Linked DNA regions of Neodiprion lecontei. The protein of the gene in region 2 purifies or fractionates together with the protein of the main gene of each other region. This does not show direct contact. Links are inferred from orthologs where the notes say so. Each region holds a gene or a part of one and is shown on either strand. Other genes may lie near its edges.

Evidence for each region.
Region 1: the proteins of isoleucine--tRNA ligase, cytoplasmic (region 2) and leucine--tRNA ligase, cytoplasmic purify together in Homo sapiens (affinity purification with mass spectrometry; 7 studies listed by BioGRID and IntAct, counting the BioPlex papers as one, with this or other methods). This does not show direct contact. The link is inferred for Neodiprion lecontei from reciprocal best matches to the Homo sapiens genes IARS1 and LARS1.

What each region holds. Positions count from the first base shown.
Region 1 is NC_060265.1:7,204,442-7,219,765, forward strand, and holds leucine--tRNA ligase, cytoplasmic, read right to left. Parts: upstream 10,323-15,324; 5' UTR 10,167-10,322; coding exon 10,164-10,166; intron 9,857-10,163; coding exon 9,644-9,856; intron 9,506-9,643; coding exon 9,296-9,505; intron 9,162-9,295; coding exon 9,000-9,161; intron 8,887-8,999; coding exon 8,642-8,886; intron 8,557-8,641; coding exon 8,331-8,556; intron 8,247-8,330; coding exon 8,028-8,246; intron 7,906-8,027; coding exon 7,452-7,905; intron 7,341-7,451; coding exon 7,202-7,340; intron 7,130-7,201; coding exon 6,859-7,129; intron 6,766-6,858; coding exon 6,518-6,765; intron 6,429-6,517; coding exon 6,194-6,428; intron 6,109-6,193; coding exon 5,851-6,108; intron 5,775-5,850; coding exon 5,559-5,774; intron 5,480-5,558; coding exon 5,251-5,479; intron 5,163-5,250; coding exon 4,957-5,162; 3' UTR 4,870-4,956; downstream 1-4,869. Other genes in the region: potassium/sodium hyperpolarization-activated cyclic nucleotide-gated channel 4-like, read right to left, coding at 2,352-3,543, 3,697-3,842. UniProt on the Homo sapiens protein: Aminoacyl-tRNA synthetase that catalyzes the specific attachment of leucine to its cognate tRNA (tRNA(Leu)).
Region 2 is NC_060260.1:8,072,950-8,089,379, forward strand, and holds isoleucine--tRNA ligase, cytoplasmic, read left to right. Parts: upstream 1-10,040; 5' UTR 10,041-10,467; coding exon 10,468-14,235; 3' UTR 14,236-14,784; downstream 14,785-16,430. Other genes in the region: E3 ubiquitin-protein ligase listerin, read right to left, coding at 1-254, 349-697, 782-1,001, 1,103-1,795, 1,923-2,058, 2,139-2,326, 2,407-2,761, 2,847-2,962 and 3 more; transmembrane and ubiquitin-like domain-containing protein 1, read right to left, coding at 15,132-15,588, 15,730-16,042, 16,130-16,430. UniProt on the Homo sapiens protein: Catalyzes the specific attachment of an amino acid to its cognate tRNA in a 2 step reaction: the amino acid (AA) is first activated by ATP to form AA-AMP and then transferred to the acceptor end of the tRNA.

The DNA.
Region 1 (15,324 bases), on a different chromosome or scaffold from region 2:
CTATTGTCGAGTGGCGCGGGGTCAGGTGCAGGGTCGCCAATCTCCGGAGGCCTGCGGCCCTCCCGTTGGCTGGCGTCGCGGGGTGTGGCCAGAATTCACATAACCCAGGGAGCTGCACGTCGGCGCTGATAACAATAGGCCAACGCTTCGGGGGCGGAGGAGATTCGGTGGCAGCAGAGGCTCGGGAGGTGTGGGAGGAGGGTGCGGGTTGCTACCAGGCAGGCGCATCGCCGACCTATTGTACAATGCCCAGCCCTTCCTAAGCGACTATTGTCATCCGGGGCAGCCACGAACCGCGCTCTGCCCATGCGTCGATGCGCACAAACCATTGTCTGCCCGTCGAATGGGCGTCCCTGGCCGAGGCTCTTCTTTCCCGTACCCGGCGTAGGCGCCATCGGGATTTTCGGGCGTTTCGCCCGTGCGGATAGAATTTTTTAACATTTTCAAACGATTGTGCCAAATGTCTTTACTGCGTTTTATTCGGCATTCATCATTCGAGGCCGGAGGCGGGGTTTTTATCGGCGCCGAGTAGCGGTTCCTGTACTCTTCGCATAGTACCCAATTCAGAGCTGTTCAACCTTTTGATTTCGTTGATTGATTGACTGATTGATTGAATGATTGATTGATTCGTAAAGTCATGAAAACGATACACAGTCACGCGGTGCACCCTATTTCGAGAGTTCGGTCACGCGCTGCGAAAAAATCTGGCAAATTATTTTTCAACCTGTATACACCTATAATAAGCTTATAATTTGACCACGGCCGTTTCAGAAATCCATTTCCGCACTGCGTTAATTGTATAATTAGAAAGATTGACCGTACAATTATTATACGTCATGCATATTCTTAATCGAGTTAAATGATGCGGAATATAGCTATATGGGAGTCATCGCAACCCGAATGGACGGAAGTCAAAATCAGTGGCACCACGCAATGTATTTATGGGCGATAATTAACTACTCGTATTTTTATTGCAGAATCTTGGAGCGCGCCGGATTTGATTCATACCACGTACGTATCGAGATGCTGCACGTGGGTATAACAAAATGTTATAACCCACTGCGCATGCATCTCGCAATTTCATGTGTGGTTCTGAATTTTAAAAGGCACGTATGTAGTAGATAATACAAACGACCGTCTTAGCTTCGATAATTGGTATACACTAATTATAATCATTCAAACTGTATTGTGATTTATGAAGATAATCATGGCCTGTATAATATACAATATATTTCGTTCGTAAAATTACAGTTACGTTTAAACTAACGTTATAAAGCATAACATTAACGTATAATTTATCGATATTATTTCGAATACAGGTTACGTAGATATATTATACTCGCGCATAATACCCTGTGGTGACCTACTTTTTTACGAACCACATTGGCCAGTGGACTTATTGAACTTGTTATGTCATCGCAGTGCAAACCTTATTATCCGTTACCTACACTCTGATTATGTCAATTGGGCAATTCTCGTTATCGCATACAGAACTCTGTATGCGTCATAACAGTGTTATTTTACTCATTCTTGAAAGCGATGGGACTTCTAGCAAAATATTCGGGATAAGCCCGATATTCCGGAGCATTGCGTTAAAATTATGTTTGCATGCACAATGCGTGCTGTGCAAGGAAGCACCAAAACCATTTGAATTGTTAAAGTCATTAACGCACTCAATTTATAATGAGATTTTTTCATAATTGACTCTAAGTATAATTGGTTATTATACAGAGGAAACAAGCGGAGCTGCTCTTTTGCATTATTACATCACCGTTTCAATTATTCGGCTGTATATCGAAGTTGGGACTTGAACCGGGACCTTTCATAATGAGTGTCGTTTAACTTTTTTCTAATGGTAAATGTTATTCCGGTATATAATTATACGGGCTACGTCAAGCTGTGTAGTCCAGGAAGTCGCTGGAAGAGTGTTGCTAGTGGCATCTACCAAGGCTCGTTTCATTCGCATGCTTCGAATGAAAATCCGGCGGCTGGTTAGTACAGACGTTACCACTGGCTGGTATTCACAACGTTTTCGTACGTGGCTCAAGTATTTAATCAATGAATTATGCCACGAAGAAAAAACAAATCATATCGATCAACGTTCACGAATCAAATTGAGTGTTTGGGAAAATATGCAGCAAAAAGTACCTTGCATATACCGGGCTATTTCCTTGGAAAAGAAATTAATCATGCATAAAAACGGTCGAAATCAGCGACGAGAAGAAAAGCTTAGGCTTTCTGAATATCGGTGTATTCTATCGATAATTATCAATTAATTATAATTGTAGCAAAATGGCCAAATTATCATTGCAGATTGCTTTAAAAACTATATCTGTACTGTAATGTTAAAATCACTGCGCGTTCAAAATCGTTGTCTTCTCGTGTCGTTCCATAGCGATTTTTTTAATCCGCTCCCAAAGCATGGGGTAAGGGTGTATAGTCCGAGTAAAATCGGCGCGCTCCAGCCTGTAAAGTTCGCAAATTTCTACAGCAACGACACTCGCGACTCGACGTTCGTCCGGCATGACCAAAGCGATTTCTCCGAAATGAGCACCGTCCTCTAGGTGGCAGACTTCCTTCCCGGACTTGGTGTAAATAGCGACGGTCCCGGAGGCGATGAAATACATGCAGTCCCCCGGCTGATTGGCCCGCACAATCACGTCGTTGGTGAGGAATATCTCGGAGCGAAGAAGGGCCACGATTCTTACCAGCAACGACATCGGCAAGTTGTTGAAGAAGGTGACGTTCTCGACCAGCTTCCTGCACGAGTGCATCCCTATCTCCTGGCTGATCTGGCTGGAAACCGTGCTCAGGATCTCCGACTCCCTGAAGTAGTTGTGCTGGTAGCGAAACTCGTGGTAGGTCATGAATCGCTGCTGGTTTTCCACAGGGAGCTGTTTGTGCCTTATGTACTGAGTCAGCTGGGCGGTCATCGCCTGGTACTTGAGGGACGAGCTGTTCATGGTCTTGTATATCTGCATCATCGCGCCGACCATCTTGCACATAATGAGGACCGACAACACCTGGAAGATGATGGCCAAGTACTGGTCCTCCATCGTGGAAGGAGGAGCTCCGTTGAACCCGGAACAAGTGAAGATGGCAACCGCGCGAAATAGGCTGCTGCGGTATTTCGTCTGAGGAGTCGACCCCCAGAGCATGTTTTGTGCAATCCAGGAGCTATCGTCGGGAGCTTTCGGCTTCCCCAGAGACTCAACGGCTAGTGGTACTATGTAGTGGAAGCAGGCCTGCCAGTGGAGGGCCAGGAATATCAGTCCGATGAATATTATTATGTTCACAATCCCGATCGATATGTCGTAGGAGGTGGCTAGCCTATGTGTATACGAGTACATGGAAAATCCCCTGAATATTATTATCAGCGAGGTCACCTCCCGCAATACTACCAGCTCGTTCCAATGAGCCAAGAAAAATATGTCCGTCGGTATCGAGCCGATCAAATCGACAAAGAAAGTACCGTGGAACATGTACTTTTTTGCTACCATCCAAGAATCCAGTTGCACTGTCCGAAGAGTTTGGTCGTAGTACCTGAAAAGAAGGACATGAATATCTCTGCTTTACACGCACTGATACCGAAATCAAATAACCGTCTACGGGAATTTTCAATGAATTTTAATAGCGTTTTTCATAATCAATCAACAATAACATTTCTGCCACAAAAGATTGACTACGGCCACGTACCCAGTCCTCAAATTCACGATGATGTCCGCGTTAAAGAAACCGATGAACAAATTTTTCGCCTGGGTCCAACCACGGATTTTCCGATCCATGTCAAAGGCAGCTTGGTATGGCAGAATCAAACAAAGGGCATACATGGATAGTACCATTGCGAAGTCCCACCAGTGTCTGTAGAACGTGAGTTTGTTTTTCTTACTTCTACATTTCAATGCTTATCAAATTACGAAGATAATATCTGTATTTAACTTACGATCATTTATGCGAGAAACCACCGATGGTTAATAAATACGTGAAATTATTTTTATTATGTTGTAGTAGAATTATGCATTGTATTAAAGCAATTGTACTGATCCAGAGTTTCAAGAATCTAGGATATAATATATTATCATCTTGCCGTACAGTATTCATTTTTTCAGGGACCCACCTGAAAAGACTGAACGGGTGAATAACGTATTTAAAGTTTCGTAAATGACGTCGCTTTTCGTAAACGATGGCTGCTCGGCTCCGCAGATATTTTGTCGCGCTTGGATTTTTTCCGGATACCATACAGGAGCGTCGCAGCGCTCCGAATGTTGACCGAAACGGACCCCTTCCAGGGATGAATAATACTTCATCTTCTTTCAAATTTATTTCGCAATCATGATGCACTTTCAACATTGTGTTTCATTAACTTTTTCCGTCATTAAAGGACTCGGTTTGTTGTCGCCTAGCTAATAATCAACTAACTCAATTCGAGAAAAAAAGGTATGAAACGTGTCACCTGGAGTTTCTAGGTTCGCTTTGTTATTAGTATTCTTTTGTTTTTGATGCCAGAAAAGTGTACTCGCAAAACAATTTTATTCGCAGTTATTATAAATATTCAACTCTCGGGTTCGCCTTACTGTAGGCAACTGTTTTTCAGCCATGGCGTGAAGGCGAAATAGGTTTAAATTGTTTTAAAGATTTGAAGAAAACTAATCAGCTTGATTGAACTAATATGTCTCAACGACTATAACATATTACTTTGGCATTGTAATAGCCCAGAATACGACATGCACATGCCATCTGACAGTCGATCAGCTTTCTGTATCTTAAATACTCACTCTTCACAGGTAGGTATTCTTGAAGATTAAAATGATCACTTACCTGTGACAGGTGGATTCGATTATATTCAAATTCTGCGTATAGAGATTTTTTATAATTGTCCTTGTTTTATTCGCCTCATTAAAAAAACAAATTGCGAAGTACGTAAATAAATTATAAGTCATTTTTACAACGCTATTGCTATTCTACAACGTATAATAAATCTAGCCCAGTTGGGTATTTTTTTCCTTCTACGTCAAGTTTTACGGTACCAGTATCTAAATTCACACTAAAAACCGCGGTTGGAGGAACAAGAATTTTGCCATTCAGTATATCGTCGACTTTTGATATAGTTCTAGGCCCCAGTATCGAATCTTCGTAACGGTATAAGCGAACTGAAGTAGCATCTGTAAACGAAGTACACGATTTAAAGCATCAAAATCAGTAATCACTTCATGGTCACTAACTAAGTAAATTTCTCATATATGCTTGTACCTTTTATCAATTTATTATCCTTAGCTATTCGCGCTGAGACATCAACTGCTCTGTCTCCGTCGGAGAGTTTTATGATCTTGGTAAACAGGCTATTACACTTTTGTGGATTCACCACGGTAACGGGAAGGCCTGGTCTTGTAGAGAAACTTATATACGGTGCACCAGGACAGCATTCTTCTTTCGTTTTTTCGGGAGCCTCGTCGGAGTATTTGATTTCAATTTTTTCCAACTAAAATTGAAAATTTATTTAGTATACGTAGCCGAGTATATTTAACTGAACACGTTGCGGTGATATTTTTTATACTCACGTCTAGAGTACTTCGAAGATAATCTTGATTTATCGTCAACACATCAACTTCATCGAAGTCAAGTGTTAGATTCAAAGCTGATACACCAAGTGTATCCATTTTTTCTCTTGTTGCTTGCACAAAAGGCATTACTCTTTTCATGTATTTCTTGAGCTCTGTTTTGGTACTGAGTTCCGTAGAAATTACTTTGTTGTCCGGTAGTTGCCCTCCATTCTTCTGTAAATAAAAGTAACAGTTTCAAGTTTCTCGCAAATAATACCATAAATCGATACTCAGGTATCCATCAACTTACCTCGAATAATTGTTTCATGCTCGTGAGAACAGTGCTCTGCCACGGCGGAAATGTTTTTGCCACCCAAATCGTACCAAAAGTAGGTATTTCAGGAGGAGAAGGAGCAGCCTTCCCTTTAGCAGGCTTTTTCACGGTAAGTTGATTTTTCAGATGGATTCTGAAAGTATGTGCGGCTTCCATTAGGTACTGTGAAGATTTCACCAAGATTTCATCAATCGGACCAGCCATAGGCCAACGGGCGTTCAAAATACTGTCTTTCTATAATTAAAATGAAATCAGATGAATTGGCGCAAGTACATTTTGAGACCGGATTCATGACATTAACCGTGCATTGTATCTTTACCTTCTCAATCAAGGTCCAAACATGCTCGGCAACGTGCGGACAAATGGGAGCCATTAGAATGGTTTGGATTTCAATGAACTTCATTATAAGTGTCAGATTAATTCCATCTGACAGAGTAAGTTGCAGATATTTATCTCTCGCTGCCTGAAATTCATAGAATCCAGTTCGAAGTGCTTCTTTGTACAGCATCTTGTGATAGTTTTCCTTGGTCTCAAGTATCTTCAGATTCATTTCACTGCAAAAAGAAAATTTAAATTATATAAACAATTCATGAAACAAGTATCTCTGATCATCGCATTAATGATATTTCTGCTTTCAACGTACCTCTGGAAGACTCGATCATTGAAAGTATTAGGCTCCCCTTTTCTGAACGTATTCTTTGAGACCATAACTTCTTTGATCCACTCAATGTACGTATAAAGCCTGAGGATTCCTGCATCAGCGGTGCTTTCGACAAAGTTCGCATCTTCTACAGAGTCACCGGAGTCGGCCAAACAGAGCCGCATACCATCTGCAGAGAACTTACGCACTGCGTCAGTCAATGTAAGGAAATTTCCATCCGATTTAGACATCTACATATAAATAAATAGATTCTGTGGTGAGTATGTTCTTCAATTCAAGAGTCATGTCACATGAATTATAAAGCAGCTCAAACTATTCATTACTTTAGCTGAATTAAGAAGTAGATGTCCATTCGCCCTTATGCCTTTAGGCCATAATTCGGGTTGATCCGGCCAAATAGCGGTATGGTTATAAATAAAGAAGGTAAGATGATTTTGGACCAAATCTTTTCCAGAAACACGTAGGTCGACAGGATACCAATACTGGAACTCTCGTCGCATTTTATCTAGCGCTTCTTTCTTTATAGATCCATGTGGCAACTTAGCATCTTTGAAAAATATGTAATCCCAGACTTCCGGAGTCATTTCTTCAGCCCTGAAGAAATAGGATTAGAAAATGTAGTAGCAAAATCTTACTAAAATAGAAGCTTGTCTGTACTGAACTCACTTTATACCAAGAGCATTGGGTTTATCCCCTTTGAATGTTCCGCCTTGTATCAAATGTGCTACTGTATAGTACGCCATGTAGATAGTTGAGTCTGACAGAGACTCAATGAGCCAGTATTCATCCCAGGGTAGTTTAGTACCTTTGAAAACAATTCTACTATTTTTTATGGAATAATTGAGGAACTAATTCAAAGTTATTGTTTTTGTTGGACGTTACAGCAGAAACTGTACAAATTTAGAGAAATACATACCTAATCCATAAGTTCGAGAGCAGGCATATTCATGCAGCCAATTCAGACATGCAGTGAAATTCTTCCTAACTTCATCATGGAAAGTTTCCAAGTTTTCTAAAGCTTGTTCAGCCTGCTTTTTCCAGTTTGCTTCGCCATAGTCTAGGTACCACTGGTTACACAAAGCGACAACACATTCGTCGTTTGACCTTGATATTATCGTTTTTTCAGGTTCATAGTATACCACTGCATCTTTGGCGTCAACGAGTTTCTTCTGCAAGTCCTTTTTAACGTCTTGAATTTTCTTCCCTTTGTATTCACCTACCAAAAGCACACCGTCGTAAAAACCTTTGAGATATACCATTTCTTTGGCAGTCAGAAGCTTCTCTTTATCATTTTGAGACTGGATTTTCAGTTGGTCATAAACCGTTACAGCGGAAAGATTTCCAAATTCAGGGACTTGAATTATTGGTATCTGTAAATGAAAGTACTTAAAATATGATTATGCTGCAGACAATATCTCATCTCAAGAGTGTTCTAGGCATTGTCTCTACACAACTGTCATTTATTATAATTTGGCGCTGAATCTAAACTCACAGGATCATAAGGTAGCACCATATTGTCTGTGATGCCATACTTTTCTCTGAAGGGTTGCTTCTTTTTCAGATCTACAAGTGCCGCGTAATCATCCGGAGAATCACTGGGAACTGATGTCACGATACCCGTACCTTTGTCCTCTTTTATAGTAAGCATGGGTAGAGTGTATATCACTTCGTTGCTGGATAAAGGCGCATGAAGTGGAAGGCCAAGAATATCCTGGTATATAGTATAACATTCAATCAATACTCATAAGTAGGGATCAATGAATTGCAAGGAAATATCAAGTAGCTGAAAAATTACCTGTCCGCTCAATTGAGCAACAATGTCTATTTTACCCTCGGTTTTTGTAAAGCCTTGATAAGACAGATTGCGTGCAGCTCTCTCTGTAGAGATATAAATGTCCCCATTTGCTAAGCTGTAAGCAACGTACCGCATGTCCGGACGAATCCAGCAATTTGTTTGACCGTACATAGTCTCCGGTCTCAGTGTAGCGGCGACTAGATAGACAGGCTTACTCTGAACAACTCTGGGAATAAAAGACAGGGGTTTTATCTCACAATAGACCGATTGAAGTTTGTGCATGACGAGTAATGAACACTAATTCTATGTACTTAAGTGCGGCAGGATATGATTCGAGTAGTTTCATTTTGATTAGGGTGTATTCCTGTGGTCCGACGCCTTCTCCAGAGGATCTGTCATGGTCCATACATGGCTGATTGTCCTTGGGTGAGAATACTGTGTACCGCTTTCCATACTTCACTTTGTTTCTCGCTTTTAGATGTTGGAACTGCCATCTAACGAAAGAATCAAAGAACGGATTCGCATCGGTTGTTATGAACATGCGTCGCCAGTCTACCTAGTTTGCGTAAAATAAAAAGTTAGATATATTTAAATAAAAAAATTTCTCATCTGACTTGAAGACTTTCAACAATCAAGTAAATGTATCTTTCAATTGCTGATACCACATACATGTATTCCGATCGATTTCAAGTCCTGCACAGCCAGCGGTGGAAAGTAATCCAACCAATAATTGGCATCTGAAAATTTTTGGATTTCCTCATCATTTAATCCAAGGCTCTGCATAATCTGCCACTGATATTTCGCGCCACCTGCTTTGGCTACAGCTTTGCTCTGAAAACGCGAGTTTGTCAAATGTTGAGAAACAGAAATTATTAAATGAAATTTGTAATACTAATTTTGTAAATGTTTTAACTGCACATTGCATGTGAAAAGAAGTGCAACGAAGGCTCTGAAAAATGAACAACCTTTTTTCCTTTACTTTTATCCTTCATGACAATATCGTCAATCTTTTCAGTAACGACTTCTTCGTCGAGTGGAAACTTTGGTGGGTTTCCATACGTTTCCATTTCTCTCTTAAGTTTGTCAGCGCAAGCTTTTATAGGCATGCCTGTGCAATGAAATCCAAATGGAAACAAAACCTTTTTGCCCAAGAGACGATTGTAGCGAACTGCGAACTGAAAATTACGGTACATTCATACTCACAGATAAATTTCTATATTCAACATTGTGTTTATGATAAGATATCATTTCATGTGATTGACAATATAATAAAATGTAGATGAATGATAAATAAATCAGCTACATTAAAATACCTCGCATTTGGACAGAGAGAAAGTGTGCCCCAGATGAAGACGTCCATTCATGTATGGAAATGGAAAAGTAGCCAAGAACTTTTCATCTGGCGATTGTCTTTGAGACAATGGAGCATCTTCTTCGTATACCTTAGCATTTTCCCATTGCTTTTGGACATCTCTTTCAATCTTCTGCAGGTACTCAACCTTAAAGGTACCTTTTCTTTCCGCTGCCTGTAATATAATAAATATTAACGCGTCACACCTTAGCATATTTTGTACACGTTATGGACTGATGACATTGATCAGAAAAAATGAAAGCCGAATTTGGTCAATGATTTTATAGCTGAGTTATTTCGAGAATACCTGCTCGCAATCACATGAATATACCTGGTGAATTCTGAGCAGATGGGTAGTGTCAAAGAGAGGTTACGTGCTGTTGCGGTATTTGGTATAACGGTACTTTGTAGCCACATTTGGGTTTTTGTGTTTAATATGTAGAATATGAAGATTATACGATAATATTTTCTCTAATAATTACCATATCTGTCTTTCTTTATTTATAAAAGTCGAACGGCTTCCACATATAGCCACGGCTTCGACTCGAACGCATGGACGTTGACTGAAGAATATAAAGACGGATACTCCTGGGTAAATTTTTGTGACCAGTTTTCGGCGGGCAAGTGGGCCCAAGTGGGCCTGGGAGCGTAGGAGTTTTCTGCTCTATCGACTCTACCTAACTAGTTCGCACCGACATTCCTGGCAGCCAAAGTAGTGTCGGTATGGAAGGTTGAGATTGAGTCGGTACAAAGTGAGTACGTAAGACTATTTGTCGACCGCGACTTAGAAATGTCGATCAGCTCGATCATTCCCGTGAGAAGAGGCGTAACAGCGTCCACCGCCAACCATCGCAACGACCTTCAACCACCGTCAACCACCTCAGCCCACCTCCGACCACCTTCGTCTTCCTTGTCCACCTCGTCTCCGTCCACCGCCTCCACGCCGACCATCGACGTCCATGTCATCTTCGTCCTCCTCGACCAGCGCCGATCACTTCCAACCACCTCCAAACACTTCCTACCCCCTCCAGCCGCCGACCGACACCTTATGCCATCTCCGACCACCTCCTACCGCCCCTACAGCCTCTAACCACCTCATACCTCCGACAACCACCACCTACCAGTTCCTACCATCTCCTACCATTTCCGGACACCTCCGACCACCTCCGACCGCCTGTGTCCTCCTCGTCCCCCTGCACCGCCGTGTATTTTATAACATTAATATGCATAATTATTCCAACAACTTTTCATTTGCTCTCTCGATCTTGAATTTTCGTAGGCATGGAATCAAAACGCTGTTTTAGCTAGTCGCAAGTGAAGTATCTACGTTGGGTAGAGAAGCAGAATTGTTTTTCGAAAAGTGTTCGTAATCAGAAAAATTCAGAGTAACTGTAATACATCACGGATGCGCTAATTTTGATCGAGATGAAACGGATGGTCCGTATTTGAGACAGTATTTAACGCAGTGTTCTGATTTAAAGACCTAAAAAGGTGATTGTCGTCGATTTTTATTTATTTTTTTTTTTTGATAGGGAGAGATAGAACGAAGCTTGTTAAAACTTCGAGTGTATTTGAACACATTTGAAAGGTACGAGCAAAAATTTTTATCATCCAACTGCCGCAGTACGACAGCGATATTAGCTGACCCGTTAGCTGAAGAATATATCTTTAGTCAACGGCTGACCACCATAGGGCCTAGCCGCTTGAGTCTGGAATCGGCAGGAAAGATTAAGTGCGTATTTCTTGTCTGAAATGCGAATATTAAAATCATTATACATCTTATCATATATACATACATCACATCATACATCATCATATCATACGTAGCATTAAAGTTCGAAACCAAAGATTGGATGTCGGATGTTCAGAAAGTGACGTCACCCAAAATTTTTTTCTCTTGACGTCATCGATCTAAAATCAGCTAGTTGAATTCCTCAGTCTGGGAACAACCGCGCAATAGAGCGGGCGGATGAGAATCGCGCTCCGCAGATTTCGAGTGCCGGGTTCTCTACCTCCTGGATCCTGCGCTCCGGGTCCGCTTCCTGGTACAACTCGACATCCAGGAAAAGCGCTCCGTAGTTTCTGCGCTCAAGGTCCACTACCAGCAGGAACTTGACTTCCAGGACAAGTGCTCCGTAGTTCTGGCTGTCCAGGCCCACTACCTGCAGGAACTAGACTTGCAGGTCAAGCGCTCCGTGTGTCCTGCGCTTCAGGTATGCTACCTGGGGAAACTTGATTCAGGGAAAAGCGCTCAGTATTTCGTGCGCTCCAGGTCCGCTACCTAATAAAACTCGACTTCCAGGACGAACGCTGCGTGGTTCCTGCGCTCCAGGTTCACTACCTGGTGAAACTCGACTTCCAGGACGAACGCTCCGTGGTTTCTGCGCACCAGGTCCGCTACCTGGTAAAACTCAACTTCCAGGACAAGCGCTCCGTAGCTTCTGCGCTCCAAGTCCACTACCTAATGAAACTCGACTTCAGGGACATGTGGTGAATAAGGAGGAAGAGGACGAGGATTTCTGCTCAGTGAGTAAAACATTTTTATAATATTTAATGGCTATTGTAATTATATTTTATCTGAAATTTTTTGAAGCTTGTTACGTTTACAATAGATCATTTCAATTCATTTTTCGCGCAAGCACAAATTCGGTAGCTGTGAATGCGCTAATGGGATTAATAATATTGTTAATTACTTAATTGATTATATTATTCCTTACGGATTGTTTTCGATGTTTTCTTATACTGAAAATATTTATTGCTATTTCAGGTATAACCCGAGGTGATTGGAGGTGGTTGGAGGTGGTCGGAGGTGAACGAGGAGGAGGACGAGGAAGACAAGGAGAACGAGTTGGACGACAAGGACGAGGATTTGTGCTCGGTGAGTAAAACATTTTTATAATATTTGATGACAATTGTAATTATATTTCATCTAAAATATTACAGACTTGTCACGTTTACAATAAATTGTTTCAATTCATTTTCCGCGCAAGCACAAATTCGGTAGCTATGAATGCGCTAATGAAATTATTAATATTGTCAATCACTTAATTAATTATATGAATCCTTACGTAATGTTTTTGATGTGTTCTTATACTGAAAATATTTATTGCTATTCCAGGTACAACCCGAGGTGGTTATCGGTGGTTGTTCGAGGTGGTTGGCGATTGTTGGAGGTGGTCGGAGGTGGACGAGGAGGAGGACGAACTGAACTGAGTCTCAAAGCCCTGTTGACATAAAAGCAGCTATTCGATAGAAATTATAGTTTATAGTTTACACAGCCCATTGCATGATATTTCATTATAAATACATATGTTTCAACGTATTTAGGAATAATTTATCAAATATACAGAGGAGATGTGCAAATAATAAATGAATTCGACCGCAATTTGATGTATTCATTAGAGCTTTAACAATAAATTTAAGCTTTGTTACCTCTTTTATTTTATTATGGATAATCAAAAACATTTCCGACTATTCGTGCTGTGGAAGCATGGGGATTAAGCCAAATGTAGCAAAAGATTAGAAACAGTGTATGTAGAGTACGGGTATTTTTCTGATAATGCAAATAGAATAGAATACAACGCCTTGCGAATTAGCTTTTCAGACAGAGATGAATGATGAATTTTAAGGACTGCATTATCGTTGTTGAATACTCTATGCCTCACGGGAAAAGAAAATCTGTAACGATAAAATTACGCACCGGATCATCGTCGACTTTAACTTTTGAAATGTCCTACCATTTTCGAACACCTCCTACCTCCCCCTGCCACCTCCCACCATCAATGGCCACTTTCGACCATCCCCTATCACCTTCTGCCAGCGCCGACCACCTCCTACCATTTCCGAACACCTCCAACCATCCTATTTACCTATATTACTAGATTAGCTATGATATGAAGAGAAGAATTATTCATTTCAAAATGGGATTCTATTCGACGCGCGCTCCATGTATTCCATAACATTAGTATTCATAATTATTCCAACAACTTTTCATTTGCTCTCTCGATCTTGAATTTTCATAGGCATAGAATCGAAACGTTGTTTTAGCTGGTCGCAAGTGAAGTATCTGCGTTGGGTGGAGGAGCAGAATTGTTTTTCGAAAAGCATTCGGATGGAAAAAAATTCAGAGTAACTGTAATACATCACGGATGCGCTAATTTTGAACGAGATGGAATGGATGCTTCGTATATGAGACGGTATTTAACGCTGCGTAGTGGTTTAAAGACCTAGAAAGGTGATAGGGAGAGAAAGAACGACGCTTCTTAACACTTTGAGTGTATTTCAACACACATTTGAAGGATAGGAGCGAAATTTTTCATCATTCAACTGTCGCAGAACGGCAGCGTTATTTAACCGACCCGTTCACTGAAGAATATATCTTCAGTCAACGGCTGACCATCGAAGGGCCTGGCCGCTTGAGTCTGGAATCGGCAGGAGAGATGAAGTGTGTATTTCTTGTATGAAACGTGAAAACTAAAAGCATTATACATCATATCATATCATCATACATCATACATCATACATCGTACATCATACATCGTACATGATACATCATCATACATACTATCAAAGTTTGAAACCATAGTTTGGATGTCGGACGTTCAGAAAGTGACGTCACCAATTCAAAATCAGCTAGCCGAATTCCTCAGTCGGGAAACAACCGCGCAGTAGAGCGGACGCATGAGAGTCGCGCTCCGCAAATTTCGAGTACCGGGTTCTCAACCTCACGGATCCCGCGCTTCGGGTCCGCTACGTATTTCGAGTACCGGGTTCTCAACCTCCCGGATCCCGCGCTTCGGGTCCGCTACGCGGTGAAACTCGACTTCCAGGATAAGCGCTCCGTGGTTCCTGATTCACGTTTACAATAAATTATTTCAATTCGTTTTTCGCGCAACCCCAAATTCGGTAGCTGTCAGTCCGCTAATAAAATTTCTCGACTTCCAGGATAAGCGCTCCGTGGTTCCTGGTTCACGTTTACAATAAATTATTTCAATTCGTTTTTCGCGCAAGCCCAAATTCGGTAGCTGTCAGTCCGCTAATAAAATTTCTCGACTTCCAGGATAAGCGCTCCGTGGTTCCTGGTTCACGTTTACAATAAATTATTTCAATTCGTTTTTCGCGCAACCCCAAATTCGGTAGCTGTCAGTCCGCTAATAAAATTTCTCGACTTCCAGGATAAGCGCTCCGTGGTTCCTGGTTCACGTTTACAATAAATTATTTCAATTCGTTTTTCGCGCAACCCCAAATTCGGTAGCTGTCAGTCCGCTAATAAAATTTCTCGACTTCCAGGATAAGCGCTCCGTGGTTCCTGGTTCACGTTTACAATAAATTATTTCAATTCGTTTTTCGCGCAAACCCAAATTCGGTAGCTGTCAGTCCGCTAATAAAATTTCTCGACTTCCAGGATAAGCGCTCCGTGGTTCCTGGTTCACGTTTACAGTAAATTATTTCAATTCGTTTTTCGCGCAAGCTCATATTCGGTAGCTGTCAGTCCGCTAATAAAATTTCTCGACTTCCAGGATAAGCGCTCCGTGGTTCCTGGTTCACGTTTACAATAAATTATTTCAATTCGTTTTTCGCGCAACCCCAAATTCGGTAGCTGTCAGTCCGCTAATAAAATTTCTCGACTTCCAGGATAAGCGC
Region 2 (16,430 bases):
CCAAGTCGATTTTAACAATATCTTGACCGATTTTTGTCTGAAAACACGTTTCCATCGTTGCTAAATTTCCTGACACTACTTCTGCATACAGAACTATTGTTGTCACATCAGCCAACCAAGTAGCCATCTTCGACCCAGCAGTAAAAGCAGAAATGACATTTTTTGTATGCTCATTTTCATCATCGTCTTCAACCAATGCTTTTATAAAGCTGACTGCAATTTCCACTAATTTTTCTAAAGAATATAGGTGTTCTCTAGAGAAATAGTACAAAAATGAATACATGAATAACAGAAATCAATAGCTTACATTGCTTTCTTAGAACCATATTTCAAAAACAAGTAACTTACGACAGAAAGATATTTGCCCATAGAATGTCTGCACATTTTTTAGTAAGGTCAACAAGTTTTGCGGGAGATAACATCGTTTTTAACTGGACCAGCCCATTTTTCCATGTATTCTGAACAGTTTTTCTTATCGGGAAAGCACTGCTATCTAAGTCAAGTGTGCAACTTAATCCAAACATAGTTTCGATAATTTTGACAACTCCTAGCCTTAGTTTGTTGTGAGTCCAAGTTGCAGAGGATATCTCAGAAACCAATTCAACGAGTGAGTTGAGATTATCTTGACTCTGTTCATTCAAACCTTTACAGAGGATTGAGACAATGTCATCAAATGTAGAATCACTGATAATTAAATCTGAAAATGCAAAGACGCGATTATTTTTAAATGTACTGTTATAGAAAATGATGAAAAACAAGAATAATTAATACAGTAACTAACCGGTATTATCAGAACACTCGAAACATTGCATGAGAATTTTTTTGTTCACATCCAAATCGATGGTAGTTTCATTAACAGCTACTTGTTTAGTCACATCTAGTAACACAGACGACACTTCAGCTTGTGAAAACCACTCTTTTACTGCAGGATCCTTCCTATTATGTTTGAACAAAGCACACTTGACCGCATGCCTAAGGATTATTTTATTTTCGTTCTGTAACTGTTGTAAGTTTGCACTTTGTATATTTGTTTGGACAATTTATCATAAAATTTATTTTCAAGACATTTTTGAATTAATTACTTATTGGACGGAATATCTACCTCTGATAATGAAGCAAGAACTGTTTTCTTGTCCAATTTATCCAAATATTTGATGAGGCTGAACAATAACATTATCAATAGCTCCGTCTGTTCTGGCTTTTCAATCAACCATTTTCTCAAAGTCTTATTGTAAAAATCGAGAAAACTGGTATCTTTTCCACACGATTTTGTCAATGCAATAAAAAGGTCTTTGCTTTCAAAGTTTGTGATTAATTTATAACAGGTTAACATGACAGCTGATTCAGAAGAATCTTTATTGATGTTATCAAAATGAACGGAAGTTATTTTGTTGATTAGTTGAGCTAATTCTGTACAATACTTCAGGTCTTCTTCTGGAACTTTAGGCAAAACTTCGTCGCTTTTTTCTGCTCGGTCGTTTGAATCAAAAAATTTGACTCTCAAATTTTTGCGAGTCTCTAATGTGGTATTTTTTAAACTGAGAAACAAGTCCAGCAATGAGTCATACAAGTTTGAAATGTGAACTGAATCAAAATTTGCTTCAGTAGAATGAATTAGATTCAAAAGTGTCTCCTCAAGAGTAGACCAAAATTGTTGAACTAAATGACCATACGACTTGTAATCGGCGACGCTTCGATTTTTACTCCAATAACGAATGAGCTGGCTTATTTGTTTAAAAATCAAAGGTTTCACTGGTGAAATCTCTACCAAACACCATTCCAATGTTGGCATCAACTAGAACGTGAAAATAAAATATATACTTTACAAATTTTGGTATTCCAAATTTAACACTTACTTACTTTCATTGTTCCTAATGATCATCACTTGAGTTATTAATAGTTAGTATTAAAAATAATTTTACCTGTTGTTTCAGTAAAGTTTCGCACAAGATTTCATCCTCATTATTCAAAAGAATCACATAACGCAAACACTCGACGAATGCAGTGACCACTGCCAGCATCTCTGAGTAGCTGAGTTGAACGCTCTTGACTTTAAAGCTGTACGAAATAATTATGATTATTTGTTTGTTTCACTTTCTATTTGCTGCCCAATTACTTTTACTTAGGTGAACAATTACCCCTTCCGTAAATTATTAAAGAAATTTGTGTAAAAGTTCATCTTGTTCTCGTTTTGTATAGGAAAGTGGCTGATGAAGGGCAGCAAATTAGGATAAATTGCATTGGCGCTGCCATTACCTCCTTCTCTTAAAACATGCCACAACTTAGGTATTATGAGCTTTTCAATGCTGACTACTGTATGCCAACCCTAGAGAACATGAATTAAACTCTAATAATCAATTTGCTAATTCTGCAGCTGAATATGTACATTGTCATCCTTTCTATTACCTCTATTTTACATATTGCAAGAAGCACAGCCTCCCACACAACTGGCAAGACACCAGGATCTGTTTCATCAAGATTGTTCATAATGGTGGTGATCAATTTCTTTTTCTCGTTCTTGTACAATTCTTCGGCGTGTTGAATCATTGAGGCAAGAACATTGAAGAATCCAGCTCTGACTAGAGGTATTTCATGTTTAACCAATTTCCAGAACTTATTGTGTGATAAAATTTTATCGTGAATCTTTGCCACCTTCTCTATTTGCTGAGGAGAAATTGTTTTCAAGTATAAAGAGTATCCTTGTAAACTTGATATCAATAATCTCTGGTATCTCATGTCCATTTCTTCAGGTGTAACTGTCCTTAAAATCAAAGAAATTAATAAAAAATTTCATATGTCATTGACACATTACCCTCTTCACAAAAATACATAGTATTTTTGCATACTTATTATTTCCAAGGGTTTGCGGCGTTTGATTTGTTATATTGTCGCAGATGTAAGTCAAAATTTCTTCCTGACAGTGTGCAATTGCGTCTGCTAATTTATTTGGTGGGAATGTTTGCTGTAAAAAGTAAATGGGAATTACTTGCGGTCTGGAAGATTGTTTACCTGCTGTTATTAATTATTATACCTGGAAAGCATTGGTAGCAGCAGAGGCTGCAGGCGCGTATGTATCATACTGTGACGTAAACCACGGTCCAGCCAGCTGTTTCAAATACGGAGCGATATTTCTTCCCGCAGGTTTAACAATGGCCAAATGCGCCACATGCGCAGCTTCTCTAACTCTATGTTCCACATCAATAGCAAGCAGACAATATATGCGGGGCCAAAATGGAAGGACTGCTAGAATAGTTTTTGCGGTCGAGTTGTTGCATAGCTCAGTAAACTCCTGCAATGCCTGTAAAATTTTCTGAGCATAAAAATACCGAACCAACAAATTCAACGAGGATTCACCTTTAATTTTGTCGTTCCATCTTTTTTATTCATTTTCTTCAACAGCAGTTGAAAGTGAGAGTCCAGTTTACTCATGTCGATTTCGTCCAAGGTACTAATCGTTAGTCTTGGTAAGAGGGGAATATATCCTCCATCCTTTGCCCCTGAAAACCCAACGAAGTTGGGCATTGAGGCTTCGAGCAGCTCTGCACTGCGACCGCTACTTGATGGCTATAATAAATAGTTGAACTCTTCAATTTTAGACCATTTGTATCAACAGATATAGAAAATGATGAAATAAAAAATTGGACATCAAAATATTAGATTTATTAATCTATAAGCTGCCAGTCAAAGACTCTGGCAGGGATATGAAGATTGGTATCTCTGTCTAAAACAGCCAGCGACACACGCTGTCATCGTTACAAATGTACTCATAATACAATTGAACAAAATATCAGAAAACAGCTAGTCAGTGAAACCCTGTGGATATCACATTCGGTGAGTATTAATTGAATAAAAAATAGGCGGGTGACAAAGCGAATTATTCGGTAAAAAAATTGAACATATTTTTCTGACAGCAGATTGCTTGTAATAAAACTTGTTGTCACGCACTTACCCTTGCATTATTTTTAGTACGTTGTGCCTGTTTGTTTTTTCCCATTTCAACGAGTCTCTAAAATAAAACTTCCAGACTGTATTATAGAAACTGTTCAATATTATTAATGTTTTGACAAATTCAACCCTTGAAGAATTTCTAACCACATTTCAGCCAGTGATGTCCGTGACTTACGTATCGCTCCACAGTGTATAAAAAAAATGTAGAGATACTAACAGCTTACATTTCACAACCCTAAAATTCGGTCAATCAGTAGTGCTCTCTGCGTCGCGCAACTCAAGTCGGTAAACGGTCGGTACGTAAAGACGACAGGACTAATATTATCATCACGTGTACCCAGATGGTTGATGCAGTGTCGGATGTTATTATGACTATGAAACGACCACCGAGCCGTACACCGTCGCCAACCCACAACCATGCAAATTCATTTACGGCGATTCATTTCAACCCAATTCAGCAATGTTAATCTTACTGCATCTCCGTCATATCGACAAAAATAATTTTATTTGAATCCGTGCACAACATAGATATACACGATTGGCTGTTAGAAACCAGTTATTGATATAAACAATAGGAAAATAGCCGGAGGTATTATGAAGGACATATGTAATGGTACTTGTATGTAACTTCTGTCCTTGTAATCGGCAATGTCAATCTAACTCCACCGGATAAACAAAAATAACATTATCTAAATAGATGCGCAATAAACATGCACATGGTTTACTGCTAACAGAGTTAGAAAAACCACTTCTTGATGCAAAGGATGGGAGACATAGTCAATACTATATATAGGATATCAGAAACTCACGAATGGATATCACCTAAGGATAGATTTTCCAAATTCTTTATGATCAAATTTTCATCAATTATCTACAATATCTCTGTCAAAAAAATACAGACGAAAGGTTGTAAGACCTTTCGGAAGCTTCAAGAGTTTTCCGCTTCCAATAATCCATTGGTTTTTTCTGAGACAAGATTCTGATCTATCGAAGTTTTCTGTAGATTTCCGCAAACAGAATTTACAAATTTTGCAGACCTAGGTAGAAGAATTTCATGAAGTGAAGCGGAGACATTGGTAGAACGTTAATGAGTTACATTACATATGTTAAAATTACAAGGAACTTGTTAGAAATTCATGTAATTGCTTCGTAAGTATCCAAGAAATATGTGTCGTTGATGAGTTATTGGAACAGCATCGGGATCCAATAGTGGGGTGATTGTCAGTTTTGGAGAAATATATATATACATATAGGTAAAAAAAAGCGCAGGTAAATTTGAATTTACGAATTCACTTTAACTAAACTAGAGAAATCCGACGGTATTACGATTCCACATGCATTACATGTTATTGAAGCATGAGTTTTATTGACAATGCTTAAATTTACGCAAGAATAAAATTGTCATTTGAAAAACTACAATATGTTAGTATTTCACCAGTGAAAATAAGTTCACTTATGCTCGTTTCCACACCACCGCAAGCGGTAGAGCACCCGGCGCGTTTTTTTTTACGTGGTATCCCCAGTAGGCCTACTCCACGGAGAATACTTGCAAGATCGATCTTACGTTCTTCGAAAACTTGCACATGACTTTTTTTCACATGTTAATTATGGTAAATTGTTTTTCCCAATCAATTTGAACTCGTGTATATTCGCAGTTCAGTCGAAATTTTTCACTTCGTATATCCCGCTGACTATTTATTATCGATGAAAGATGATTGTTTTAATTATAGATGAAAGATGGTTGTTTTAATTATGGATGAAGGGTGATTGTTTTTATCTTATAAGTGAACGTGAATTGACTTTGGATGTTCGCGCACGGGTTTTTTCCTATGAGGTATGAGATGATCATTAAAATGGAGAACCTGGTGAATACGCAACACAATCAACAACTAAACCAAGATTGAAAACACGAATCGCTGTAAGACGTTGGCATTTACCTATTGAAAGACGATGCAGAAATCTTTGAAGAAATGGAAACGAATCTGAGTAGAATAAGCACAACCACCAAAATACAACAGAGCTGTATAATTCTATAGTGAAATACAAATCGAACATGACCTATGAGCGACTCAAGAAAAAAACTACAGCAATAAATTGTACCACACTTTGTAACCACCAACTACATCGCTAAATCTATATATCGGTGAAAAAAAAGATGACTGACTCTGAACCAGACCTGAACTAGACTTAAGCCATACCTAAGCCTGAAAAATGAAGCGTTAATTTTTCAGTATAGTCATTAAAACTCAGTTACCTGGAACAGACGAAAATATAATTAGTAACATATGTCGATACAGGCAGAAATATACTTATCTTAAAATTAGGTAAATAAAAACTGTAATTAACGAAATAGAGACACATTAATTAATTGAAACAGACATAAGATTTAATTAGCTGAAACAGACAAAAGGCTTGATTAGCTGAAATAGACAAAAAGTTTGATTAGCTAAAACAGACAAAAGGTTTGATTATCTGGAACAGATAAAGGGTTGGATTATCTGGAATGGACAAAAAGTTTGATTAGCTGAAATGGGCAAAAAGTTTGATTAACTGAAACAGATAAAAGGTTTGATTAGCTGAAACAGACAAAAATATTGATTAGCTGAAAGAGACAGAAAGTCCTGATTACCTGAAACAAACAAAACGTTTGATTAGCTGAAATAGACAGAAAGTTTTACGGGCTGAAACAGATAAAAACTTTTATTAGCTGAAATAGACAGAGGGTTCGATTAGCTGAAACAGACAAAAAGTTTGATTAGCTGAAATAGACAAAAAGTTTGATTAGCTAAAACAGACAAAAGGTTTGATTAGCTGAAACAGATAAAGGGTTCGATTATCTGAAATGGACAAAAAGTTTGATTAGCTGAAATGGGCAAAAAGTTTGATTAACTGAAACAGATAAAAGGTTTGATTAGCTGAAACAGACAAAAAGATTGATTAGCTGAAAGAGACAGAAAGTCCTGATTACCTGAAACAGACAAAACGTTTGATTAGCTGAAATAGACAGAAAGTTTTACGGGCTGAAACAAATAAAAACTTTTATTAGCTGAAATAGACAGAGGGTTCGATTAGCTGAAACAGACAAAAAGTTTAATTAGCTGAAACAGACAAAGGTTTAATTAGCTGAAACAGGTGAAGGTATGGTTAGCACAATCGCGTAAGTCCATACACTGACAAAAAATGAGTCGAGTCCAACATGATATTCGCCTTAATATTCGTTGCTTCGATTATTAATTGTGTTGATGAATAAAAAACATTCTCAAGTTTTCGAATAGACATCTCTTTCTGCTTTGAGTTATTGAAGTGAATATCTTTTTCGACTCAACATTCTATAGTTTTCAGTGCATTCGTTAAAAAAATGATTTTGTTGCCCTAAAATAGAAAATAATACGATCAATTAAACGAGTATGTCTGTACATTTCAGACATATTTCATAAATACTTATGCTAAAATTTTCCACTATCAGAGTACACTACAGAGATTTTTGTTCCTGCGAGTTGAGCGCCGGTTTTCAAATGCCGCGCTTTCTCTCATAACTGAAAGGTACCAAGTCCACGCGCAAAAGGCAGCGTGGAACTTGAAAACTTTATTACTCGTCAAAAAATTGACAAAAGAGCTGAAATATCAGCACATCGATAGTGCATAACTCTTTCATGTACTGTTTGCAAAATCGACGCGCAAAAACACGTGTCCGAGTCCCGTTATTAATTCACGCGCAAAAAGGCGCGACCGATTAACCTGTCAAAAACCTTAAATATCTAGGACTTGTCGCAAAATTCTGTAGAACCCCAATCCGCATTTGCGTCTTTTTGAATCCGACACATTGCGATGCGGATTGTTATTCTGACATGCGATCAAGTCCGGGAAGGAGGTTGGAGGGCATGCATTATTGTGTGGCGTGACGGTCGGCGGTCCTCTTCGACGCGAAGTCTTCGAGCTCAGCATCTCTCCCCATCTAGCGTACCACGGAACGCGATAGATGGTCCAGAGATGCGTTTTGCCCATTCAGACGATCACAGAGATCAATTGAATGGAATAACGATCGGTAATGACTAAATAATCGAATTGCATAACGACTGAAAAATGGTCGCAGAGTGACAACAAATGGAAAATTCAATTTCTTTTATATTCAACTGCTGTCAAATGGTCGAGAGACCCGAATGCGGAGTCTTTTGGTAAAAAAATTTCTGTGATCGTTTGACGCTGTGGATTAGAAAAGTTAGTAACATCACGGTACATCGCGACCTTCCTACCCTCGCCTGTTTCCCAACGAAGCCACCCAACGGAAAAGAGAGATTCACACACTCATGCATAAACCCCGCGACGGATCCCAAAACGTCCACCTACCTACCCGGTTACCTATATTCGACCTAAACGATTCTCCATTCTCTCCAACACACGTCATTCTTCATCATTTGCGTCGTGGTCACTGACTTACATTTTCGTTGGTTACCTGTTGGGAGCAAAATGTTTTTGTATCGTAGTCTGCCTACTCAGAATACAGTATCGCGGTTATATTCCGCCAACCCTAATATTGCATTTATTATTTTAGTAAATGTTGGCAGACTATCGGTACATTAACCTTTTGTAAAAGTGATTAAAAACATCCTGTATGCCAATTAGCATTTTTCTAAGCGAGCTAAGCCTGCAGTTGATCAATACTTGTTGGCTGTTAAAAGATTGAAAATGATATATAAGATGCAAATTGATTACGTTACGTTATGCCAGACTTTCGAATTTCATAAATTTAACAATAACGTGAATAATTGAATATGTTCAAACCTCAGGTGAACCCACCACTTAAACGGCATCATCGGTAAATTCAAACGTAGATTATTACATCAGTTACGAAACACAATTCGATCTCGCGAGTGCCGAGTAAGCGATGGTTACCTGTCGCGATGCTCATTCCACTTTAAGCAACGTGTATAATCTCTAACTAGAAGTAAGCTACGCTAAATTGCATTGCGAAAAAAAATTATTCAACCGAAAGTTAAGCACGTTGCGATCGTGAATGAGCCTAACCATGCAGCTAAGAAATCGAAGATTTGTGTAACAATTGTTACCGCCACGCCACGTGACAGGGGAATACCAGGGAAAAACCCGTAACCTAACACATGCAAACTCACCAGCGTTGCCGAGAAATGGAGAAGTTACTCGGAAGTCTCTGCTTAAATCTGTGAAAAGCAAAACAAAACACTTGAATTAATTTAGGAAATCGGCTTTTCAGATTTCAAGTCAATTATTACTGTTATCGAGATTCATATTTATACATTGCATGTTATGCAAGAACAAAAGTTCGGCTTTAAATGACCACCGTGAATTATCAATCAATAATTAAAGTATTGTTACCTCGACTCTGGGCTGCTCCACACTTTAACACGTAGTAGTTCTTGTAGCATCTCAGGTTTATTGGTGAAGTGACGCATTTTTCACACTATTCAGATCTTCAGTAATTTCTTATAATCCGAAAATCCGCACCGTAACGATACTCGATTCTACACTCACTTTCTGTGCTGTAGCAGTATCTTTGAACCGACCAAATAAATTTGCTAACAACGGAACTGCGCATTTGCCGAAAATCAGCCAAAGAAAAAAAAGAATAAAATTGACACTCGTTGCACAGAGCCAAAAATAGACATCACTTAAATCTGAAATTACATAAAACAATGAAAACTCGGGACACGAAATTCACCTTCACCATTCGCAGGGTGTTTTTATTTCAGTCACTCGGTTTTTCCACAGGCTACACGCTGCTCATCGTGTATTACTCACAGATGAGTATGGTGGAAATACACTGATCGAACAACGTGACACCACCTGAACAACGCGGTCTGAATCTTGAACCGATACTGAGAACACGTTATTTCACTCCGATTGCTTGGAAACGACTGATGCACGGCACGACGCTCAGAAGAGATTTAACTGTTCTCTGAACGATGGAAGATAATAATTCGCGCGCCCTCTCTGTGGCTCTTCCCATGGAGTGGGGGTAGCTGCACATACCTGCCTAGGCTTTTCATCCCCCCTCTCGTAGCCCACACTCCATGGGTAGAGCGACAGAGAGAGCGCGAGAATTATTATCTGCTGTCCTTTAGAGAACCGACTCGATTCCGTTCATAGGACAATTAAACCATTGCTTACGCTCTATTTTACATATCTATGGTTTCAACGGCCAACAAACTCGTATCATCAGGCTAGAACACTAGAACAGTGATTGTGAGAATATAACCATAGTATAACCTAAAAACAATTTGCAACTTCTGCTGATGAGAGAAGCACGTTGCGTTGAGGTCGTTTGAACAGCCGGTGTGAAACTTTTTATTTATTTAAACTAAAATCGGTTTTTTGCTGACTATTGCATAGAGTATTTGCACAGAGTCGTGAAGGAAGATGTGTGAATTCACACGTGAATAGTTTTCTGCTGCTAATACAATAATATCAAATCAATCTAATACGGCTGCGAAGTAGCAGGTTGCATCATTCGTTTATCACAAAGTATCTAATTGTAACACTGCAATGACGGAAAAACTACCAGATACAATAAACTTTCCCAAAGAGGAAGAAGTCATCCTCGAGTTATGGAAAAAATTGGACGTATTTAATACTTGTTTAAAACAGTCGAAAGGCAAACCTAGATATTCCTTCTTTGATGGGCCACCCTTTGCTACTGGTATGCCACATTATGGTCACTTGTTAGCAGGGTCAATAAAGGACATAGTCACGAGGTATGCACATCAGCGTGGGTTTCATGTTGAGCGAAGATTTGGCTGGGACACACATGGCTTACCAGTAGAGTTCGAAGTCGACAAAGTGCTTGGGATCAAGGGCCCCGATGATGTAGCCAAGATGGGGATAGCCAACTATAACAAAGAATGTAGAAGCATTGTAATGCGCTATGCGTCTGAGTGGGAAACTATTGTTGGAAGGATTGGACGATGGATCGATTTTAAGAATGACTATAAAACTCTTTATCCTTGGTATATGGAATCCATATGGTGGATCTTTAAGGAATTATTCAACAAAGGTCTCGTATATCAAGGTGTAAAAGTAATGCCCTTCTCTACCGGATGTAATACTCCATTATCCAATTTTGAATCTGGTCAGAACTACAAAGACATCGCCGATCCTTCGGTAGTAATCGCTTTTCCACTGCTCGACGAACCTGGAATATCTATTTTGGCTTGGACGACAACCCCGTGGACTCTTCCCAGTAACCTGGCATTATGTTGCAATCCGAATTTTGAGTATGTCGAGGCGAAAGACTTGACTACGAATAAAATTTACGTCATACTTGAGTCAAGTTTGAACCTTATATACAAATCTAAAGATCAGTATGCATTAGTTGGTAAGAGGAAGGGCACTGACCTTAAAGGTAAACGCTATGAGCCACCATTTAACTACTTTTGCGATCTGAGGGAAAAAGGAGCCTTCGTGGTATTAAACGACACTTACGTAACTGCTGAAACTGGTACTGGAATTGTTCATCAAGCACCATACTTCGGAGAGGATGATTATCGCTGCTGTTTGGCAGCAGGAATAATAACTCGTGATCAGTCTGTTGTCTGCCCTGTTGATAACTGCGGTAATTTTACAGAGCCAGTAAGTGACTTTTTGGGTCAGTATGTCAAGACTGCTGATAAAAATATCATAAAGCATCTGCAAGGAAAAGGAAAACTTGTTCACAGTGGAACCAGCAAACACAAATATCCCTACTGTTGGAGGTCCGATACTCCGTTGATCTACAAAGCAGTTCCATCTTGGTTTATTAGGGTTGAACAATTCAAAGACAAGCTAATAACCGCAAACTCTGAAACTTATTGGGTGCCTGAATATGTTAAAGACAAACGTTTCGGTAATTGGCTTCGAGATGCTAGGGACTGGGCCATCAGTAGAAATCGTTACTGGGGTAATCCCATACCGCTCTGGGTGTCCGAGGACAAAATGGAAATTGTGTGTGTTGGAAGTATTGCAGAATTAGAGCAGTTGACTGGATCCAAGATTGAAGATATTCACAGAGAAAGTATAGACCATCTGACCATTCCTTCTAAGCGTCCTGGGCATCCTCCTCTTAAACGTGTCACGGAAGTATTTGACTGTTGGTTTGAATCTGGATCCATGCCTTATGCTCAAATGCATTACCCTTTTGAACGAGTCAAAGACTTTGAAGATAGTTTCCCAGCTGATTTCATCGCCGAAGGTATCGATCAAACTCGTGGTTGGTTTTACACCTTGCTGGTAATTTCTACAGCATTATTTGGAAAGGCACCGTTCAAAAATCTAGTTGCTAATGGTCTGGTCCTTGCTGCCGATGGTCAGAAGATGTCGAAACGAAAGCAGAATTATCCAGATCCAAAAGAAGTACTTAATAAATTTGGGGCTGATGCTCTAAGGTTGTACTTGATCAACTCCCCAGTAGTCAGGGCTGAAAATTTGCGCTTCAAAGAAGAAGGTGTGCGAGACATTATAAAAGACGTATTTTTGCCATGGTATAACGCATTTAGATTTTTGATGCAAAATGTTGAGAGATTTGAACGTGAAGAAAAACTACCATTTAATTACAATGAAACCAAGAAGATTTCTGACTCGTCGGACAATATAATGGATAGATGGCTCACCTCTTTTACTCAGTCATTGCTGCAATTTCTAAAAGAAGAAATGCAAGCTTATAGACTTTACACTGTCGTACCTCGACTGATAAAATTTATAGATAATCTAACCAATTGGTACGTAAGAATGAACAGAAAACGAATAAAAGGTGATGGAGGAACAAGAGATTGTGAACAAGCGCTGAACACGTTATTCTCTGTTCTCTATACAATGGTGAGAATAAATGCACCGTTTACACCATTTTTAACTGAATTCATGTTCCAACGACTGTCCAAGTTAATTGTAGCAACCAAAGGCAACATGGACAGCGTTCATTACCAAATGATTCCTGATCCAAACATAGCTCTTATTGACGAAACTATCGAAAAAGCAGTTTCTCACATGCAAACAGTAATTGAGCTCGGAAGAGTTGCTAGAGACAGAAAAACTATTCCTGTAAAATATCCATTGCCAGGAATTGTGGTAATCCATCGAGACCCCAAAGTTTTAGAAGATATCAATTCACTCAAAACATATATACTTGAAGAATTGAACATAAGGGAGCTCACTACTACAACTGACAAAGAAAAATATGGCGTTATATTACGTGCTGAGCCAGATCATAAAACGCTTGGTGCTAGACTGAAGGGCGAGTTCAAATCTATAATGCAAGCTATCAAGCAACTATCGGATGAAGATCTACAAAAATTTGTTGCAACAAAAAAAATTGAAGTACAAGGTCACGAATTAGGGCCTGAAGATATTCGGCTTATGTTTAGCTTCACCGGTCCAGCAGCTGAAAAATTTTCTGAACAATACGAAGCACACAGTGAAGGAGATATCCTGATTCTTCTGGATGTTACTCCAGATGAAACAATGCAGCACGAAGGGGTTGCACGTGAAATAATAAACCGTGTACAGAAACTAAGGAAGAAAGCACACCTTGTACCATCTGATGAGGCTATTGTGTATTACGAGATTGAGGACCTTAGTAGCAACTTGGCTGCAGTGGCTGTTAGCTATAAATCGTTCATAGAAGGAATTACAAAAACGCCTCAGAAAAATATCGCAGAGATGTCTCCTGACGATGATATTATTATACAAGAAGAACAAAAAGTTAAGGGGGTCAATCTTAAACTTGTTTTAACAAAAGTTAAACCATCCGATTCTACCGAAATCAGACTACATCTCAACGACTCCCAAGTAGAACCATTCTCTAAATGGGTAAATTTAAAACTCGTTAATCTTAAACCAAGATTTGGGGCCACTAATTCGGTAGCCACCATATTGTTAGAAAATTTTACCGGAGGTGTCAGCATATCGTATAATCAACTGAATTCTGAGATCGAGAAAATATTTGGTATATATGGCTGTCACTACGATTTGTATTCTGATGGAAAACTAGTTACTGAGTCAACACCAATCACGTCGCTACACACGCAGACAATATTAATTGTTCCAGCTGGTACATGTCCGTCCATATCAAATGTAAACAACAAATTACCTGTTTGTCACTTTGTCAATGTAAAATCGAAATCCCAAAAGGGTGTCATCCTACTTGAAAATCCTGTAGGAAATTTTGCCTTGGACAATAGTGCTTTGCATCAAAGATTATTAGTGTTTGGAAATGTTAATTTTTCTAATGTACCAGCAGATAATATTTTTAAACTCAATGGGACAACATTAGAAGCCAAATAATAATGTATTCGATTTTCGTCGTTTCTCTTCTTTTTGTTTTGCTACTTGAATTCAGGTAACAAAGTTTTGAAAAACGATTTTATGCTAATACTTGATTGTGGCTCAATCTTTTACTGGAATAAGAAAACGCCAGGTGGCAATTAGTAGTTCTTTGATTGCGTATGTATGTAAATTATAGGAATTATTTTATAAATAAAATTGAGATTTATATTAATTATTAGTCAATTTGACAATTTGATTCTTTAACCTCTGGTTTATTCTTCCTACATTTTAAAAATAAAGATAACGTTCGGAAAATATAACAAACAAGTTAAGTTTAACATAAGCTCATCACGGGTGGCAATAATTTATAAAATAACTCAAACTGCATTCTGTACGCATGTAACATGGTAACTGAAATATAAACCTGCTATTTCAATGTAACAACGATGGTTTTTTTTTTTTTACATTCTATATACACGGCAAAGTTTAGAATTTGCGTATCATTTAAATTAAACAAGAATTAATTCATAGCAAATTTAATGCCAACAGTTTTTCATCACCTATATTTTACAAAAAAAAAAAATATATATATATATATATATATATATATATATTTAAAATTGAAAAGTAGTACGTGGTAGAAAAATTTACATAAGAATTTTCTTTTCCGAAATATTCTCTCCTCTTCCTGATATTTGTAAGGTAACAGTATACTTTCCGGACTCTTGTTATGCAACGGTCAATGTCTGAAAATTGAAAACAGACTTCGTCCTTACTTAATGTAAAGACATTGCGTTTATTCCGAGACAAAATGTTCAAGATTTCACGTGATCAAGTCACTTTATCCGTAGTAACTGTGTTTTAAATATTTCATATAACATTGTCCAGTTTTTCCAAAATGATTAAGGTCGTTTTTATTCAATGTTTCTAATACTATCTTGATCAGGGAAAAAATGGCCGAAAAGTGCAACGGTAAACATAGCGGTGAGCGCGTATAGTGCGAGAGTAGTAGTTGCCGTGAATAACTGAGCATAATGGTATCGTGAATACCAAGCGAGACCCAAAATTACTGTCAAAATGCTAACTAAAAGTCTACTAAGATCCCAGTCGTGCCGTCCTCCTGCAAGACCTGCACTTGCTGGCAAGTCTTGGAATGATTGAGGGTTAAAGTACAGTGGCGAGGCATTGTCTGATGTGCCTGACTGAACTGCAGGCGTAGGATTTGGTCGTGGTTGATGTACCAAACAATGAACAACACAATTATGGTACAAACCGCACCTCTTCAAGGTTCTAGTATCAGGTTGAAGTACCTGACCATTGAATACCAAACGAACTAGTTTCTGAGCAGCAAGTTCCACCTCAAAATGTTTCCTGCAAACAACAAAAGTCACAAATAGAATTTTTTTTTACAGGATAAGAGATACCAACTAGAATGACCAAAACATCTTTGTTATTTAGCATAAGGCACATCCGTGTTACGGATTTGGGATAAAAATGGAGTGCCCTGATCACCTTTTAAAATCACCCAATAATTCCTCTGGACTTCCTTTAACTACTTTTTGATCGTCGTTGATAAACTTTAGTTTTATAGTTATTTGGGTAGCTTCATCAACCACAGGCTCAGCACCGGCACCTAAATGCTCGGTTGTGATAGTAGCCGCAGATTCAGGTACATCAGTTGATTCCGTAGCAGTATCGATCTTGACTATTCTCTGTCGTAATCCGGAATCATCGTTATTGAAAGTGTCCATAGCTTGGATCAGCACTTCTTCGGACGAGGCAGCCGCAACAGATGAGTTTGTTTCGTTTTGTTCTTCAGCAGGAGCTGCAGAATTGCAATGGAATATGATTAACAGTGAATAAATTGAGAAATTGATTAAAATGAGTAAGAAATTCGTCGCACTAGCTCTACCTGGGACAGCGGATGATGTTGGACATTGCGGATCTACCGTATCGGTCACAGTTTCAATTGCATGTTCTATAGCTTCAGGTGTGGGCTCAAGATTTTGGATTCGACTTGTAGAGTTTGTAATCTGACTACTCGCCCTAAGTTCTGCAATACGAGTACGTGTGCGATGTTGCAATATCAACACTGTACGTATAAGTGGCTGATCGGCTATACTTGTAGAACACCATGCCAGCCATCCAACTAACAGTACGCTGACTATTATGAAGAAATCGGTTACTTCGTCACCAACACCGTCAATTAACGT